Lonchura striata: one gene and its partner. The protein of the gene in region 2 purifies or fractionates together with the protein of the main gene of each other region. This does not show direct contact. Links are inferred from orthologs where the notes say so. Each region holds a gene or a part of one and is shown on either strand. Other genes may lie near its edges.

Region 1 (7,400 bases), on a different chromosome or scaffold from region 2:
ATCCATGGAATCCATCCATCATCCATCCATCCATCCATCCCTGTCCCATTTGGAAGTAAGAATTCTGGGAGAGCTCCAGGTAGAACCCATCACCCATTCCTGTCACAGTCACTGGATGAATCAGGGAATTTAAAATCCAACTCCTCACGCCAAGCTCTGAGTTAGGAATTGTGTTTTTATTCCTTTTGGCTCTTAGCTTGGTTTAAAAAAAGAACAAAAAATCTTGTTTTGAACAGGCAGTTGATGCCTCCGCCAGCTTTTCCTGTCACTGGAATGAAATCGGAATCGGAAGAAAGAAAAGGTGCGGGGTCTTTACCAGGCAACCATGGTGAGTGCAATGGGTCAAATGCCCTTGCAAGTCCAGTTTCCTTTCCCAAACCCCTTTCTAAGTCCATTTTCCTCTCCCAAATGCTGCTGGTTTTAACAAGTGGGGTTTTTTTGGCTGTTCTGTGTCAAAGTGCAAAGCAGGTGACACTGCACTGCTCTAAAATCACTCGAAAATCACTCGAAAATCACTGGTGCTTGCTGTGGTTATACACACAGGTTGCTTCTCCAAGCTTTAATAAATATCTGTGAAATCAGAGGAGTTTGATTAAAGTGAGGGACTAAAAACAGGGAGATTTAACCCGTCAGGCAGCACAGAATGTGGTTGTGCTGTGGCTTTGCATTGTGAGCAGCTGCCTCAGAGGCACTGAGGAACGTGGGGGGAATTCTGAATTCTGCTCGGGTGGGGATTTACACACATTTCTGAGAGCAGACAACACAAGTGCTGTCAGGATTTCTGTCAGGATTTCATCTTTTCTGTCACTCAGCAAGGGTTTGAACTCGGTCAGACTTGCAGCTGTTGAAATCTGCAGGCTTTCAGCTCTGCAGGGACATCACCCAGCCTGGTTAACCTTAGCTCTTCTGCAGTCTTGCTCTCCTGTTAGCTTCCTTTTGAACAAAATTTCTACTTTTTCTTTACATGTTGATCTCTTTAACGGGTGAAATTGCCCTCACTGAGAGCCATTTGCTAACTTTACCTTTTCTGTGTGTTTCTTTCTTGTTTCTCTGTTCTCTTACATGGTTCTGATGGATCACATGGCTGTTGCTGGTGCTGTTTCCTGTGGCCTTCGACCTTGGATGACCATTGGCCTTGTGACCTCAAAATGGTGTCCAACTAACAATTTACAATTAACATCTTTTTTTATTATTATTAACTCGTTTTTGGGGCATTTTATCTCTTTTTTTTTTGTTTTGTTCGTTTTGTTTTTATTTTTTTCCTTCTCGGGGGGGCTGGGGCGGGGCTTGTTTTGTTTTCCCCTCCTAGATCATCAAGCCAAGAAGATGAAAACTGCAGAGAAGGGCTTTGGATTAGTGGCCTATGCTGGAGATTCATCAGATGAAGAGGAGGAGCACGGTGGCCATAAAAACGCAAGTACTTTTTCACAGGGCTGGAGTTTGGGGTACCAGTACCCATCCTCACAACAGCGAGCTAAACAACAGATGCCTTTCTGGATGGCACCCTAAAAAAAAACAAACTGCACAAGAGTTTTCATTCATCTGGTTTTTTCCCCCCTCTAGCAATAATGCATGTGTATTCCACAATGGACTTGGCAAAGACGTGTTGTTTTTACATTTGCAGAAGCCAATTTCCCCTTGGAAGGGCTCCATTGTTTTTTAAATCCTCATTTTGGCAGTGTGGTTGTTAATTTTAAAAAGGAGTATTTGGAATAGCATCCTGACTGGGCTAATCCCTTGTGCAAGGGAGAAGTGCTGTAAAGAGGAACCAGGGAAGCCTCTTGGGCCGTATTTTTCATTTCTCCCAGATAACTGAAAGGGAAGAGTCAGTGACACTGACTTCACTCTGCATTTGCATTTTTGGAGTGCTTCTGCTGTCAGCCCCAGTGATCTACTGGTGACTCAGCCTCAATTTTGGACTTTCACCAGAGGGAAGGAACACCCAACCAGCAGCCGCGAAAAACTTGAGCATCACATTTGGAAAAGCCTCGTTTTTATTTCAAACATCTGTCACTCCGCTTGGTTTTATTTTGAGACGTGATTTCACCAATCCCACGAGTTCTCGTTCTAGCCAGGTGTTGGGGCGGGGGGATGCTCAGGTTTTTGGATAGGTCCACGTCGCTCCAGGTGGACTTGGCACTACAGCCCTAGAGCTGAATTATTTCCAGTCACCCCAGGACTCAAACCAACCCAGCAGCAATTCCTTTTCCAGAGGCTCGCCCCCATCTCTTCCCTCATTCACTGGATTCCACCAGAGCCAGAAGGTTCCACGGTGGTTTCCCAAAAGGCAGCAGCTCCTGCCTCACGTGCAGAAGAATTTTGAGTATGAAAATGAATTTTTGGGTTGTTTCTGCGCTGTTTTGGACACAAACTGCACCGGGGGGTGGGCTGGTGCAGACAGAACTCTTGAACAGAGCAGGGGCTGCTCCAAGGGGGCTGCTCCAAGGCACGGGGCAGTTTTTGGGACATGTTTTGAGGAGGGATGGCTCGCCTGTACAAACCTCAGCTTTCCGACGCGTTGTAAATAATTAGAACCGTACTTTGGTTATAAATAAATGTATAAATATTCTGCTCCCTGCCGCTGCTTTGAGGTTGGAGTGGGGTTTGGAGGAGGGAGACGCTGGGCTGGGAGAGCCCCGGGGCGGGGAGGGGATCCGGGCTCGGGGTGCCCCAGGATCGGGGGAGCCCCGGGGGGCCCGGGCTGGGGGTCGGTGTTGGGGGGTCCCTGGGGATTGGGGACGGGGAAGGAGTCGCAGGCTGGAACGGGAGCGGGACGGGAGTCGAGGGGGTGCGGGGCCGGAGGGTGTCCCGGTGTGTCCCGGTGTGTCCCGTCCTGTCCCTGCCATGTCCCGGTGTATCCCGTTGTTTCCCCGTCCTGTTCTGTGCTGTCCCCGCTGTGTCCCGGTGTATCCCCGTGCTGTCCCGGTTCTGTCCTGGTGTATCCCCACCATGTTCCAGTTGTGTCCCGGTTCTGTCCCGTCCCGATGTGTCCCCGCCGTGTCCCGGTTCTGTCCCGTCGTGCGCTGTCCCCACCGGGCTGCCGTCGCTCCCGCCATGTCCCGGTTGTGTCCCAGTTGTGTCCTGCGCTGTCCCGTTCTGTCCCGGTTCCGTCCCGCGCTGTCCCGGTTCTGTCCCGCGCTGTCCCGGTTCTGTCCCGGTTCCGTCCCACGCTGTCCCGTTCTGTCCCGGTTCCGTCCCGCGCTGTCCCGATTTTGTCCCACGCTCTGTCCCGTTCCATCCCGCGCTGTCCCGGTTCTGTCCTGTGCCGTCCCGCTCTGTCCCGGTTGTGTCCCGTGCCATCCCGCGCTGTCCCGTCCCGTCCCGCGCCGTCCCGCGCTGTCCCGGTTGTGTCCCGGTTCTGTCCCGCTCTGTCCCGTCCCGCGCTGTCCCGGTTGTGTCCCGGTTCTGTCCCGCTCTGTCCCGTCCCGCGCTGTCCCGGTTCGTCCCGCGCTGTCCCGCGCTGTCCCGGTTCTGTCCCGGTTGTGTCCCGGTTCTGTCCCGCTCTGTCCCGTCCCGTCCCGCTCTGTCCCGGTTCTGTCCCGGTTGTGTCCGGGTTCTGTCCCGCTCCGTCCCGCTCTGTCCCGCTCTGTCCCGTCCCGCTCCGTCCCGCGCCGTCCCGCGCTGTCCCGGTTGTGTCCCGGTTCTGTCCCGCTCTGTCCCGTCCCGCGCTGTCCCGGTTCGTCCCGTGCCGTCCCGCGCTGTCCCGTTCCGTCCCGCTCCGTCCCGTCCCGTCCCGCCCCGTCCCGCGCTGTCCCGGTTGTGTCCCGGTTCTGTCCCGCTCTGTCCCGTCCCGCGCTGTCCCCGCCGGTTCGTCCCGCTCTGTCCCGCGCTGTCCCGGTTCTGTCCCGCTCTGTCCCGTCCCGCTCTGTCCCGCTCTGTCCCGGTTGTGTCCCGTGCCATCCCGCGCTGTCCCGGTTGTGTCCCGCGCTGTCCCGCTCTGTCCCGCTCTGTCCCGGTTGTGTCCCGTGCCATCCCGCGCTGTCCCGGTTGTGTCCCGCGCTGTCCCGCTCTGTCCCGCTCTGTCCCGGTTGTGTCCCGTGCCATCCCGCGCTGTCCCGGTTGTGTCCCGCGCTGTCCCGCTCTGTCCCGCTCTGTCCCGGTTGTGTCCCGTGCCATCCCGCGCTGTCCCGGTTGTGTCCCGCGCTGTCCCGCTCTGTCCCGCGCTGTCCCCGCCGGGCCGCCGTCGCCGGGCCGGCCCGCGCGCTGAGGGCGGAGGCGCCGCCGCCATTTTGGCGGCGCTGCGAGCGGGGCCGGGCGGCGCGGAGGGGCCGGCGATGGAGCCCGCAGCCCGCCCGGGCGGCGGCGCGGGCCAGTCCCGGGAGTACAAACTGGTGATGCTGGGCGCGGGCGGCGTCGGCAAGAGCGGTGAGCGCGGGGCCGGGCCGGGCCGAGCCGGGCCGGGCCGAGCCGAGCCGGGCCGGGGCGAGCCGAGCCGGGCCGGGCCGGGGCGAGCCGCGCTCCGCACCACGGCCCCGGTCTGGGCGCGGCGCCGCTGCTCCCGAGAGGGGCCGGCCCCTCCCGAGCCTCCCGGGATGTCTCCGCCGGGCTGTCCCGGCCCATCCCGGGCTGTCCCGAGCCATCCCCGTCCCTTCCGGGGTGACCCCGCCGGGCTGTCCCGGCCCATCCCGGGATGTCCCGGCTCCTCTTGGGACATCCTGGCTCCTCCCGAGCTGTCCCGAGCCATCCCGGGATATCCCGGCCCCTTCCCGTCCCTCCCGGGGTGTCCCCTCCGGGCTGTCCCGAGCCATCCCGGGATGTCCCGGCTCCTCCCGAGCTGTCCCGAGCCAACCCAGGCTGTCCCCTCCGGGCTGTCCCGGCCCATCCCGGGGTGTCCCAACCCCTCCCCAATCCTCCCGGGCTATCCCCGCCGGGCTGTCCCGGCTCCTCCCGAGATGTCCCGGCTCATCCCGGGGTGTCCCGATCCTCCCGGGGTGTCCCTGCTGGGCTGTCCCGGCTCCTCTTGGGACATCCCGGCTCCTCCCGGGCTGTCCCGACCCTCCCGGGTGTCCCCTCCCGAGCTGTCCCGGCCCATCCCGAGATATCCCGGCACCTCCCCGTGTCCCGGCTCCTCCCGAGCCATCCCCGATCCTCCCAGGGTGTCCCACCGGGGTGTCCTGACCCATCCCGAGATATCCCGACCCTTCCCGGGCTGTCCCGAGCCATCCCGACCCCTCCCCGTCCCTCCTGGCGTGTCCCCGCCAGGTTGTCTCGGCTCTTCCCGAGATGTCCCGGCCCATCCCGGCATGTCCCGGCCCATCCCAGGATGTCTTCTCCGGGCTGTCCCGACCCCTCCCGGGCTGTCCCGGGCCTTCCCGGGCTGTCCCGGGCCCCGCCTGCCGGTGTCCCGGAGCTGGTCCCGCCTGGGTGCGGGTGGAGCATCCCCGGGCCGGTTCTGTGCCGTGGCTGCGGGGTAAGCATGCGATCAGCTGTGAGCTGGGCTGCTCAGTTCTTCCCCGCTTTCTTCTTGCAGCCATGACCATGCAGTTCATCAGTCACCGCTTCCCAGAGGACCACGACCCCACCATCGGTGAGGAAAACGTCTTTTCTGTTCACTCGTTCTGTTCGTTCAGTGCAGTCCATTGCTTTAAAATATTCAATTGTAAGATATCTCTAAATCTGCCTGGAGATGGATCTTTGATCCCTCATCAGGACGAGCACTCCCAGCAGGTCAGGGAGGGATCCAGGGAGTGCTGAGCCTCTGGAGTGCCGTGTCCAGCTCTGGGACCCTGAGCACAGCAGGTCAGGGAGCTCCTGGAGGGGCTCAAAGATGCTGAAGGGCCTGGAGGGTCCCTGCCCAGGAAAGGCTGAGGGAGCTGGGGCTGCTCAGCCTGGAGAGGAGCCCCAGCTGAGAGGGGCCTCAGCCCTCAATGGCCCTGGGTGTCCCCGATATCCCTGGGTGTCCCTGGGTGTCTCTGGCTGTCCCTGAGTGTCCCTGGGTGTCCCTGTGTGTCCCTGAGTGTCCCTGGGTGTCTCTGAGTGTCCCTGTCTGTCCCTGGGTGTCTCTGGGTTACTGTGGGTGTTCCTAGGTGACCTCAGGTGTCTCTGTGTGTCCCTGGGTTTCCGTGGATGTCCCTGGGTGTCCCTGGGTGTGTCTGGATTTCCGTGGGTGTTGTCCCTGTGTGTCTCTGGCTGTCCCTGTCTCTCTCTGGGTGTCCTTGGCTGTCTCTGGATGTCTCTGGGTTTCCATGGATGTCCATGAGTGTCCCTGGCTGTCCTGTGTGTCCCTGTCCATCCCTGGCTGTCCCTGTGTGTCCCTGGCTCTCCCTGTCCATCCCAGTCCGTCCCAGTCCGTCCCAGTCCGTCCCAGTCCGTCCCAGTCCATCCCAGTCCGTCCCTGTCCATCCCAGTCTGTCCCAGTCCATCCCAGTCCGTCCCAGTCCGTCCCTGTCTGTCCCAGTCCATCCCAGTCTGTCCCTGTTCATCCCAGTCATTCCCTGTCCATCCCAGTCCATCCCAGTCCGTCCCAGTCCATCCCAGTCCGTCCCAGTCCATCCCAGTCCATCCCAGTCCGTCCCAGTCCGTCCCAGTCCATCCCAGTCTGTCCCAGTCCGTCCCAGTCCGTCCCAGTCCGTCCCAGTCCATCCCAGTCTGTCCCAGTCCATCCCAGTCCATCCCAGTCCATCCCAGTCCATCCCTGTGTCCCCAGGCCCTGCCCCAGCCCCAGCGCTGCCCCAGAGCCCCGGGCAGGGCCGAGCCCAGGAGCTGCCCCTGCCCAGGAGGCAGAACTGCTGCCCTGGGCAGTGCCAGCCCTGGGCAGAGCCCGGAGAGGCTGCGGAGCGTCCAGAGCCGCCTGGCCACCGCCCCGTGCCCCGTGCCCCGTGCCCTGCAGGTGATCTGATCTGCTGTGCTCCCTTCCAGCCTGAACCCTCTCGGTGCTTCTGTGATTTCAGGCTTCTGAGAGTGGGGTGTGAATCCTGAGTTTCAGTTCTTTACTCATTTTCCATCCATCCACTCAGGGCATGCCCTGTGTCTGTCTGTTGGCAGCCAGGGCTTGAAACTGCTGCTGAGCCATTTTTAGTTGTCTGCTCACAAAATCCAGACTCTGTGCTGTGATCAGCTCTTTGCTGTTCACTTGTCAGGCCAAATTGTTCTCTGTGTTTGAGAAATTGAGAGGGGTGGAAGTGCTCAACGACTCACTCTGGTGCTGTAGAACCTCAGCAGCATCTCCAGGAGAAACCTGAACCAACAGTTACCCAGTGGAAGGAAAAGTGAGGGTAAAAAAGCCAAATTCTTGCTGAGAATGAGTTCCTAAAGTGTGGGAGTGCTGACTGAGAGGGACAGAATATTTTTGTATTTATATATTGATAGATCATTTTTATATGGTGTTTATAATAAATAATATTTACATATATAATTATATTTACCTGTATAACATTTATGAATGAAACATATATGTTTCA
Region 2 (7,976 bases):
TTCTTTCCACAAACAAGTATGGTGAGTAACAGCTTGCAAGTCCTTCTTCAAACCAATAATCAAGTAGGTGACATCCTAGTCAAAGTTTCCTTCCCTTGCCAGCAGCAAAACAAAGGCTGCAGGCATGGGGGAGGAATTCTGCTCCGGGATTGTGAATAAGGACTTTCTGGAGAAGCCATGGCTTTGAGCAACATGGTGATTAAATTGCTGCATTATAAATAAAATCACCTGGGAGTCCACATACTTGCACTGGCTTCACACCTAGGATGTTTCTGCAGGTATTTCTTCTAAAGAAAAAATTGCTGCTCAGGGTGTAAGTGTGACCTCAGTGTGACTGTCCTAGGGATGGGTGAGCTCGTTTGTGGAGGGACCTTGAGGAACAAGTGCTGCATAGAGAGATGAGCAGGTGCATCATCTCTCAGGTTCATGTAGCCTCAGAAGGGAGAACTTTACAGGGAAACAGCGAAGGATGCTGCTCACATTAGCTCAGAACTGGCAAAGTGTCACCCTCACGTGGGATTAAGGCAGAAGATCCTGGTGCATGGAATTCCCAATCCTGCCTGTGAGTGTCCCATGTGTGCTTGACTCACCTGCATGTTCCTCAAGCCTCCACTGACCCTGGTTCTGGGCTTCAGTGGTTTCTATCACATGACCTAAAGAAGTGAATATTCTGGATACAATTTTCTTTTTTCCCAGCAGTGCTTAAACTATTTACTTTTGGATCCTTGGGTTTCAGTAGCTTAATAGAAAATTTTCTGAGATAGTCTGCTCTTTTTGATGTTAAAACCTGCTGATTTGCCTCTGACAGATGAAGATTACTATGAAGATGATGAAGAAGATGATCCAGATGCATTAAAGGACCCTCTTTACCAAATAGATCTCCAGGTGATGTTCTGGAATGAGGGGTTTTATCAGATTCCAATCATTCTCTATAAACTTTAATTTTTTAAGTGTTGTACTTTAACAAATATGTAAGCACTGGAAACACCAGTCATGAACATCCAGAAAGGCACTCTGTAAATTGAAATTACTTTGGAAAGGGCCAAATGTCCCAAGAATTTATGGAGCTATTTTTCCTTATCATTAATATTTATAACATGGAAATGTGAATGAACAAAACTCTTTGAACAGAGGGGGATGAGACTTTTCTACCTGTGAGCTTCACTGCTACTGGCAGAAGTCAGGAGTAGGTTGGAGAGTGAACATGACAGAATTTCATATTCCACTTGGAGATGCTTCCACTCAGTCAGCCCCTGTGTTACCCTTTGCTCCTGCTTTTCCCACCACCTGCAGCTGTTGAAGGGCCCTTCCCTCTGCTCCCATCCTTTTTCCTCTGCTCCAGCCCTTCCCTCTGGTTCCACTCCTCCTCCTGCACCACTCCTTTCTGTTCCCTTCAGTCCTGGGGTGTTACTTGGTGCATGTTGGGCTGTGTCTCCTGACACGTGGAAGCAGCAGGATTTCCCAGGAGGGTGGTGCTGACAGGTGTTTCTGTCCCTCCCAGGCCTATCTCACCGACTTCCTGTGCCAGTTTGCACAGCAGCCCTGCTATGCCATGTTCTCTGACCACCTCAACGACAACGAGAAGCGAGTGCTGCAGGCCATCGGGATATAGACCCACTCCAGAGACCACACCTGCCAGATCTGAACAATTGGTTCTTTTTGGCTAATTCCACGTTTTATGATAGGACATAAAACATTTTCCAGTGTCTGCCTGCCTTGTTCCAGGTTGACAATGGCCTCATTGTTTTGAGCCTCATCTTAACGCACATCTAAGGATGCTAAGGAAAGGAATCCTGAGAAAGGATCATTGCACATTGGTCTCACCACAGGAGCACTTTCATTTTCCACAGTAACTTTCCAAGAAGTTCCTAAAGATAAAAATAATGTGTCCTTAATATTTTTAAAAGGAAACTGTCTCTACCTGTAAGAGGCACTTTGAGTTTCCCACAGCACAGTTCGACAGGGAAAGGAACCGGATCACTTACGGATTGCTTGAGAAGTGGGAAGGTTGTTCCTCTTGGCTGTTCCTCCTCACCTAACACAGGGTAAATATCTTGATCCTACAACGTGACTTCTTTTATAGAACCACAGACTCTTTTCAGAGCAGCCTGGATCGGATGGAGCCTGTTCACAGGAGTCTGGAGGGGAAGCTGAGACAATGAACCTGAGTGTGTATCTTCTTTCCTGGTGTGGATGGGGCTCTGTCGCTCACGTCTCCCATGGGAGCAGTTCTTCACTAACACTTGTGTGTGCACATGCTCAGAGGAAGCCATCACTTAAATTTCTGTTCCTGTGGCCTGTGGCTATGAAAGACTGGTTTTCTGGAACAAAAGGAGCCACAGTTTTTAGGGGAAAAAAACAAACTGATTGTATTTAACAGATTTACTTAATGACAGCCACTCTAAACTACTTTGCTTTTTTCACACTCCCGTGTGTATTTTTATAGAGTGGCAAAATAGCATTTGCAAATTGATTTCCCCATGAGAACAGTGTGATCTATCTCACAACACCTCTCTGCCTTTGGTTCCCTTTCGGGGAAAATGAAATAAAACTATTAAAATGTACATTGGTATCCTTCTTATAAAACAGATTTAAAAGGAACTTGTGCTTGATTCCTGAAGTCACTTTTTAAAGACGTATTTCTCCTTATGACACGTTCTGTATGTTCTGCCAGAGGATATTGGGGTATTTCATGGGAGTCACCTGGACAGAAAGGGAGTCCTGTGCTGTATGTATCTGCTGCTTAAAATGGGCTGAGCCATTACAGTTTCCTTTTAAGAAAGGCACTTGCTGTTCCTTTGTGGAATCATTTGCTTCGACATTGTATCAAAACCTCCATAACCTGGAGTCCTTCTGTCTCTCACTGGTCTCACCTTGTGCCTGTGAGTGAGCAGAGCCAGGGGGAACCCCCCATCCCCTGCAGACTCCTCTGAGCCAATCTTAAATTTTTGAGTGCTTAAGTATATGAGAAGCAGAGTTTGAAGCCTGATTTTTGTGTCTAATAAGGTACAAGCTCTTCCCATGCCATTGAGTCTCAGTGTCTTTCTTCCCTGGGGATTCTCTGGTCTGTCGGAATATGTAACAAACAGGGTGCCCTGACCCTCCTGTCATACTCAGTAGGAGTTTGGTTCTGAGGCCTTTGCTCTCAGCTTCCACTGAAAGGAACAAGTTAAAGCAAACAGTGCGGTCTTGAAACTACCAAGAAGCTCATGGCTGCAGTGGTGTGTCCACATGGCTGTTCCAGAAGGATCAGGAATGTCCTCAGAAGAATTGGTCCCAGCTCTGGGAAGAGGCAGGACCAGCTTTTTTTGCCGTGTGTGTCAGCAGCAGAGGCACAAACCCAGCCATCCATACTTGCACAAAAGTGGATGTCAATGTCTGGAAGCATTGAGGTGTGTTCGGGGTGTCAGGAGTAAACAGCACACTGAAGGCTGGTTAGCCTGGGCTCACAGAGGTGCTGCTTGGGGGTTCGTGTGCACTCCAGTGGGAGCTGGAATACTGTGCATCAGGGGGGGCTTTAGCCAGGGCAGAGGGTGAATTTAAACAAGTCCATGAAAAATGAGGCTGACACTGAACTGAAACATCTAAAGGTGCCTGTGTCATTGTAAGTTCCAAAAGATGGATGGGTCAGTGCCATATTCCTGCTGGAACTCATCCATATTTTGGGTAAAACCAGCTTTGATTTGCAGTTATCAGTGTTTTTTTTAAACGAGTGTGAGAAGGGAAGGATGGGGGGTAAGTGGCATTGTCTCTACGTCTAAAGATTACTTACCTGAGTTTCCCACAGTACAGGTGGACAGAACAAAGGCACTGTGTCTTTTACAGATTGCTTGAGAAGTGGGAAGGCTGTTCCTCTTGGCTGAACTGGTGCTCTGCACTGTCCCCCCTCCATCCTCTGCCAGATGCAGCCTGAGCTGGCTGGGCATGGTGCTGCTGCATGGCAGCTGAAGCTTGGGACCAGCCCGAGGGGCAGGACTGGCACAGGGATGGTGTGGTTGTGCAGCAACCCTCACCGTGTGCAGGGTGGTCTTGGCAAGAAATGCTGTGACTCGAGCAATCCCTAGGAAGAGGCTGGATACGAACTGAGAGAGTGCACAAGGGAGATGGTTTGAGGGGCCTCAGCTGAGTCCTGCTGGTGCTCATGACTTTGTTGCTTTTCTGCTTAACCAGTCATCTTTCCTAAAAAAATTCTGAAGCTCACTCTGTGATGTGTCTTTATACAAGGATTGTGTTTGCTGGAGGGATTGTGCGAAAAAACCTCTGACAAGTAGCACAGTGATGGCTCAGGATGGAAACTGCTGGACTCTGAAGCAGTGTCTGAGCTCTGGTTTTGAGGCGCAGCACCATTGTGCTGTCTGGTGTTGCAATAATAGTCATAGAGGTGACTGACACCGTTTTAAGAAACATAAACTGAGGAAAACAAAGGATGGGCTGTGGGCTTTGCACAGCCGAGGGCACATGCCACTGCTGCCGTGGTGCCTGGCACGCACATCCCGCTCGGGACTCCTGTGGGTATGAGCTGACCATGTTTGCTCCCTGTTTACTCCGGAGCGCACCGCGGAGCTCCGGCCCTCACGGACCGTGTTAAAACAGCGACCGCCAGCTCGGACCCTGGAGCGAGACTTTATGCATTTTCATCAGTACTGTTCTTTTTTGGGAGTGGAGCTTTTTGAATTAACAAATCAACTCTAGTAGTGTAGCATCCCGCCCGGCTTCCCGCCCTTCAGCGCCCGTACCGGCTGGCTCGGGCCGCCCGCCCCTCTAGCGGTGCATGCTGGGGGCTGTAGTCCAGGGCTCGGCAGCTGCCAGGCCGCTGCGCCGGGCGCGGGGCACGCCGGGAGTTGTGGTCTGGCTGCTGGACCGCAGGCGCGCCGGAAGGCGGGCGCGCGGGGCGGGGCATGCCGGGAGCTGTAGTCTAAGGGGGCAGGCGTGGGCCATGGCGGCGGCCGCGGCCCCGGCGGGCGGCGCGGGGCGCTCGAAGGTGGCCCCGAGCGTGGACTTCGACCACAGCTGCTCGGACAGCGTCGAGTACTTAACCCTCAACTTCGGGCCCTTCGAGACCGTGCACCGCTGGCGCCGCCTCCCACCCTGCGACGAGTTCGTGGGGGCCCGGTGAGCTAGGGAGCGGACGGGATGGTTGGAGGGGGGCTCCCGGCGCCTCTGACCTGTCCGTGCCGCCCGCAGGCGCAGCAAACACACTGTGGTGGCTTATCGGGATGCGATCTACGTGTTCGGCGGGGACAACGGGTAAGGGGAGCCGGCAGCGCCGGGGTTAAGGGGAGGTGGGTGTGAGGGGAGATGGGTGTGAGGGGAACGGAGTTGTGAGGGGAGATGGGTGTGAGGGGAGATGGGTGTGAGGGGTGGTGGGTGTGTGAGGGGAGATGGGTGTGAGGGGTGGTGGGTGTGTGAGGGGAGATGGGTGTGAGGGGTGTGAGAGGAGGTGAGTGTGAGGGGAGATGGGTGTGAGGGGAACGGAGTTGTGAGGGGAGGTGGGTGTGAGGGGTGTGAGGGGAGGTGGGTGTGAGGGGAGATGGGTGTGAGGGGTGTGAGAGGAGGTGAGTGTGAGGGGAGATGGGTGTGAGGGGTGGTGGGTGTGTGAGGGGAGATGGGTGTGAGGGGTCCGTGGCCGCCCCTGTCCGGCCCCCGGCCTGGCTCAGCTGCTTCTCCCGTCCCTCCCCGCAGGAAGACGATGCTGAACGACCTGCTGCGCTTCGACGTGAAGGACTGCTCGTGGTGCAGGTGGGCAGCGCGGCCCCTCGCCGTCCCTGGTCGCTGGCAGGACCGGGACACGCCGTGGCTTCCCTCAGCACCTTGGGCTGGGTGTAAAAGTTTGTGCCGCTACCTGAGTACCCGAGAGGAAATGTCACCTCCTCCCAGCACTGTCACAGCTGCTCCCTGCCAGCCTGCTGTGTGCTGGGCCATCGGGGTTGTCGATCCTGCCCGAGGGGAGGCCGGGCAGCACAGCGAGGGAGGACCAGGGTCATTCTGTTCCTGCAGCTTGTGGGAGGGCAGAGGGACTGGGTGTGCTGCACCTCTCGGGCCAGGGAAGGTGCCAGGGGTCCTCACACCTTTCTTGGCTCCTTTGCTCTGCAGTAGGCAGCCTGTCTTATCTCACTTGTGTCTCACTTTCCAGCTCTGCCAAATAGATTTCAGCAGCAGCATGTTCGTAACCATTTATTTCTGTTCTATAAAATCTTAGTGCAATCAACTATCCAAAACCAGTGAAACACTCAGGAGCAAAAGAATAATTTCTAATAGTTGTTTCTTTTCTTAGTCTGCACATTAGCTCTGTGCCCAAAGCACAACCAGTGTGTTTGACTGCTGCTGTTGTGACTTGTGCAGGGCTTTCACGACGGGGACGCCGCCGGCACCACGGTACCACCACTCCGCTGTGGTCTACGGGAGCAGCATGTTCGTTTTTGGTAAGGCAGCAGCAGGCTGTAGTACAAGTGGTAGATGTGCTGCTGTACTGGTTTGGAAAAAGAATGAGAGATCTTTAGGAGGTGTCAGAGGTCTCATTCAGTAGCAAATCCAGTATTTTTCATAGCTGTGATTTCAACTTTAGTTTGGAAAGATGGCGCTGTTCTGTTTAAAGTAAAGACTATTGAAGCTCATTGCCATAGTGATTCTTTAGGAGGAGTGGAAGAGTAGTCTCCTTCTGTAGTAGTCTGTTAGCCAAACATTTCATGCAATCTAAAGTTTCTCCTAATGCAACGCCTGGGAGTGTGTGTGTGTGCTCCGTTGCCTGGGAGGCTAATGGAATTGTTGTTGTCCAGGTGGTTATACTGGAGATATCTATTCCAATTCAAACCTGAAGAATAAAAACGACCTCTTTGAGTATAAGTTTGCAACTGGGCAGTGGACAGAGTGGAAGACTGAGGGAAGGTAAGAGCTGTATCATTGCCTTCTGCTTCGGGGGACTGAGGGTAGCTTGGCATCATTTCACATAGCAGTCAGACCTACTTACAGTGCTCATGTTAGGCCTGCAGCATGATTGCTGCTCTGCTTTCTCAATTAACATTTTTTGGTTCTACAGGAGTTTTTTTGGAAGGCCTCCATTCCAGAATGCACTGTAATGGAAATTCATCCAAATTCCACTCTTCATGTTTCAGGTCCATGACAGAAGGAATGGGGGCAAAAGGAGTTGGGTTTTTTCCTGAATTGTTTCAGTTTCAAGGATAGCTTGGAAATTGTTGATCCCTCATGAAGAAAAGGGATCCTGAGAGTCAGCGTTCCAAGGAAAATCAGAATCACTAAGACATTGCTTCCTAACGTTGACTCTGTGCACATTTCAGAATGCCATTTCTGACAATGATTGTGATCCAACTCTTTAGTGTTTATTACAAGGTCATGAACAGGATAAGGGGGAATGGCCTTATACTGGCAGAGCAAGGTTAGATGGGATATTGGGAGGGAAGGCTTGGCTGTGAGGTTGGTGAGGCCCTGGCACAGGTTGCCTGGAGCAGCTGTGGCTGCCCCATCCCTGGAAGTGTCCAAGGTCAGGTTAGATGGGACTTGGAGCAACCTGGGCTAGTGGAAGGTATCCCTGCCCATGACAGGGAGTGGGACTGGATGGGCTTTAAGGTCTCTTTCTACCCCAGACATTTCTGTGTTTACCACTCCCCAGTAGGGGTCATGTGGTGTCTTTACCTGCAGTCCTACACATAGCTGAAGTTTCTGGAATGCTGTTTTCAGTGGGGAGAGAGAAGGGAACTTTTGTTATTGTGATTTGTGGAGAGGGGTGAGGAATGTCCCATCCGTTCTTGTGTTACTGTTGCTCACCTCTGATGAGCACGCTATATTTCAGAACAGAGACTCTATTAGTAATATCTCTTTCTGGTTTATTCTGGTAACTTGGGACATTTTGGAGAGTAATTCTTACTCAGTTTATTCACATTTTGCTTGTTGTTCCCCAGAGTTAATGTTCAAGCTTCACAATGACCTCAGATAAGCCAACAGATGCCTTGTGGCATCAC

What was found.
Region 1: the proteins of LZTR1 (region 2) and RIT1 purify together in Homo sapiens (affinity purification with mass spectrometry; 3 studies listed by BioGRID and IntAct, counting the BioPlex papers as one, with this or other methods). This does not show direct contact. The link is inferred for Lonchura striata from reciprocal best matches to the Homo sapiens genes LZTR1 and RIT1.

What each region holds. Positions count from the first base shown.
Region 1 is NC_134635.1:2,021,603-2,029,002, reverse strand, and holds the start of RIT1 (GTP-binding protein Rit1), read left to right. Parts: upstream 1-4,243; 5' UTR 4,244-4,274; coding exon 4,275-4,365; intron 4,366-5,470; coding exon 5,471-5,527; intron 5,528-7,400. Other genes in the region: KHDC4 (KH homology domain-containing protein 4), read left to right, coding at 237-328, 1,310-1,509.
Region 2 is NC_134632.1:344,511-352,486, reverse strand, and holds the start of LZTR1 (leucine-zipper-like transcriptional regulator 1), read left to right. Parts: upstream 1-4,888; 5' UTR 4,889-4,936; coding exon 4,937-5,112; intron 5,113-5,184; coding exon 5,185-5,247; intron 5,248-5,682; coding exon 5,683-5,739; intron 5,740-6,342; coding exon 6,343-6,422; intron 6,423-6,776; coding exon 6,777-6,885; intron 6,886-7,976. Other genes in the region: IPO9 (importin-9), read left to right, coding at 1-21, 809-885, 1,502-1,612. UniProt on the Homo sapiens protein: Substrate-specific adapter of a BCR (BTB-CUL3-RBX1) E3 ubiquitin-protein ligase complex that mediates ubiquitination of Ras (K-Ras/KRAS, N-Ras/NRAS and H-Ras/HRAS).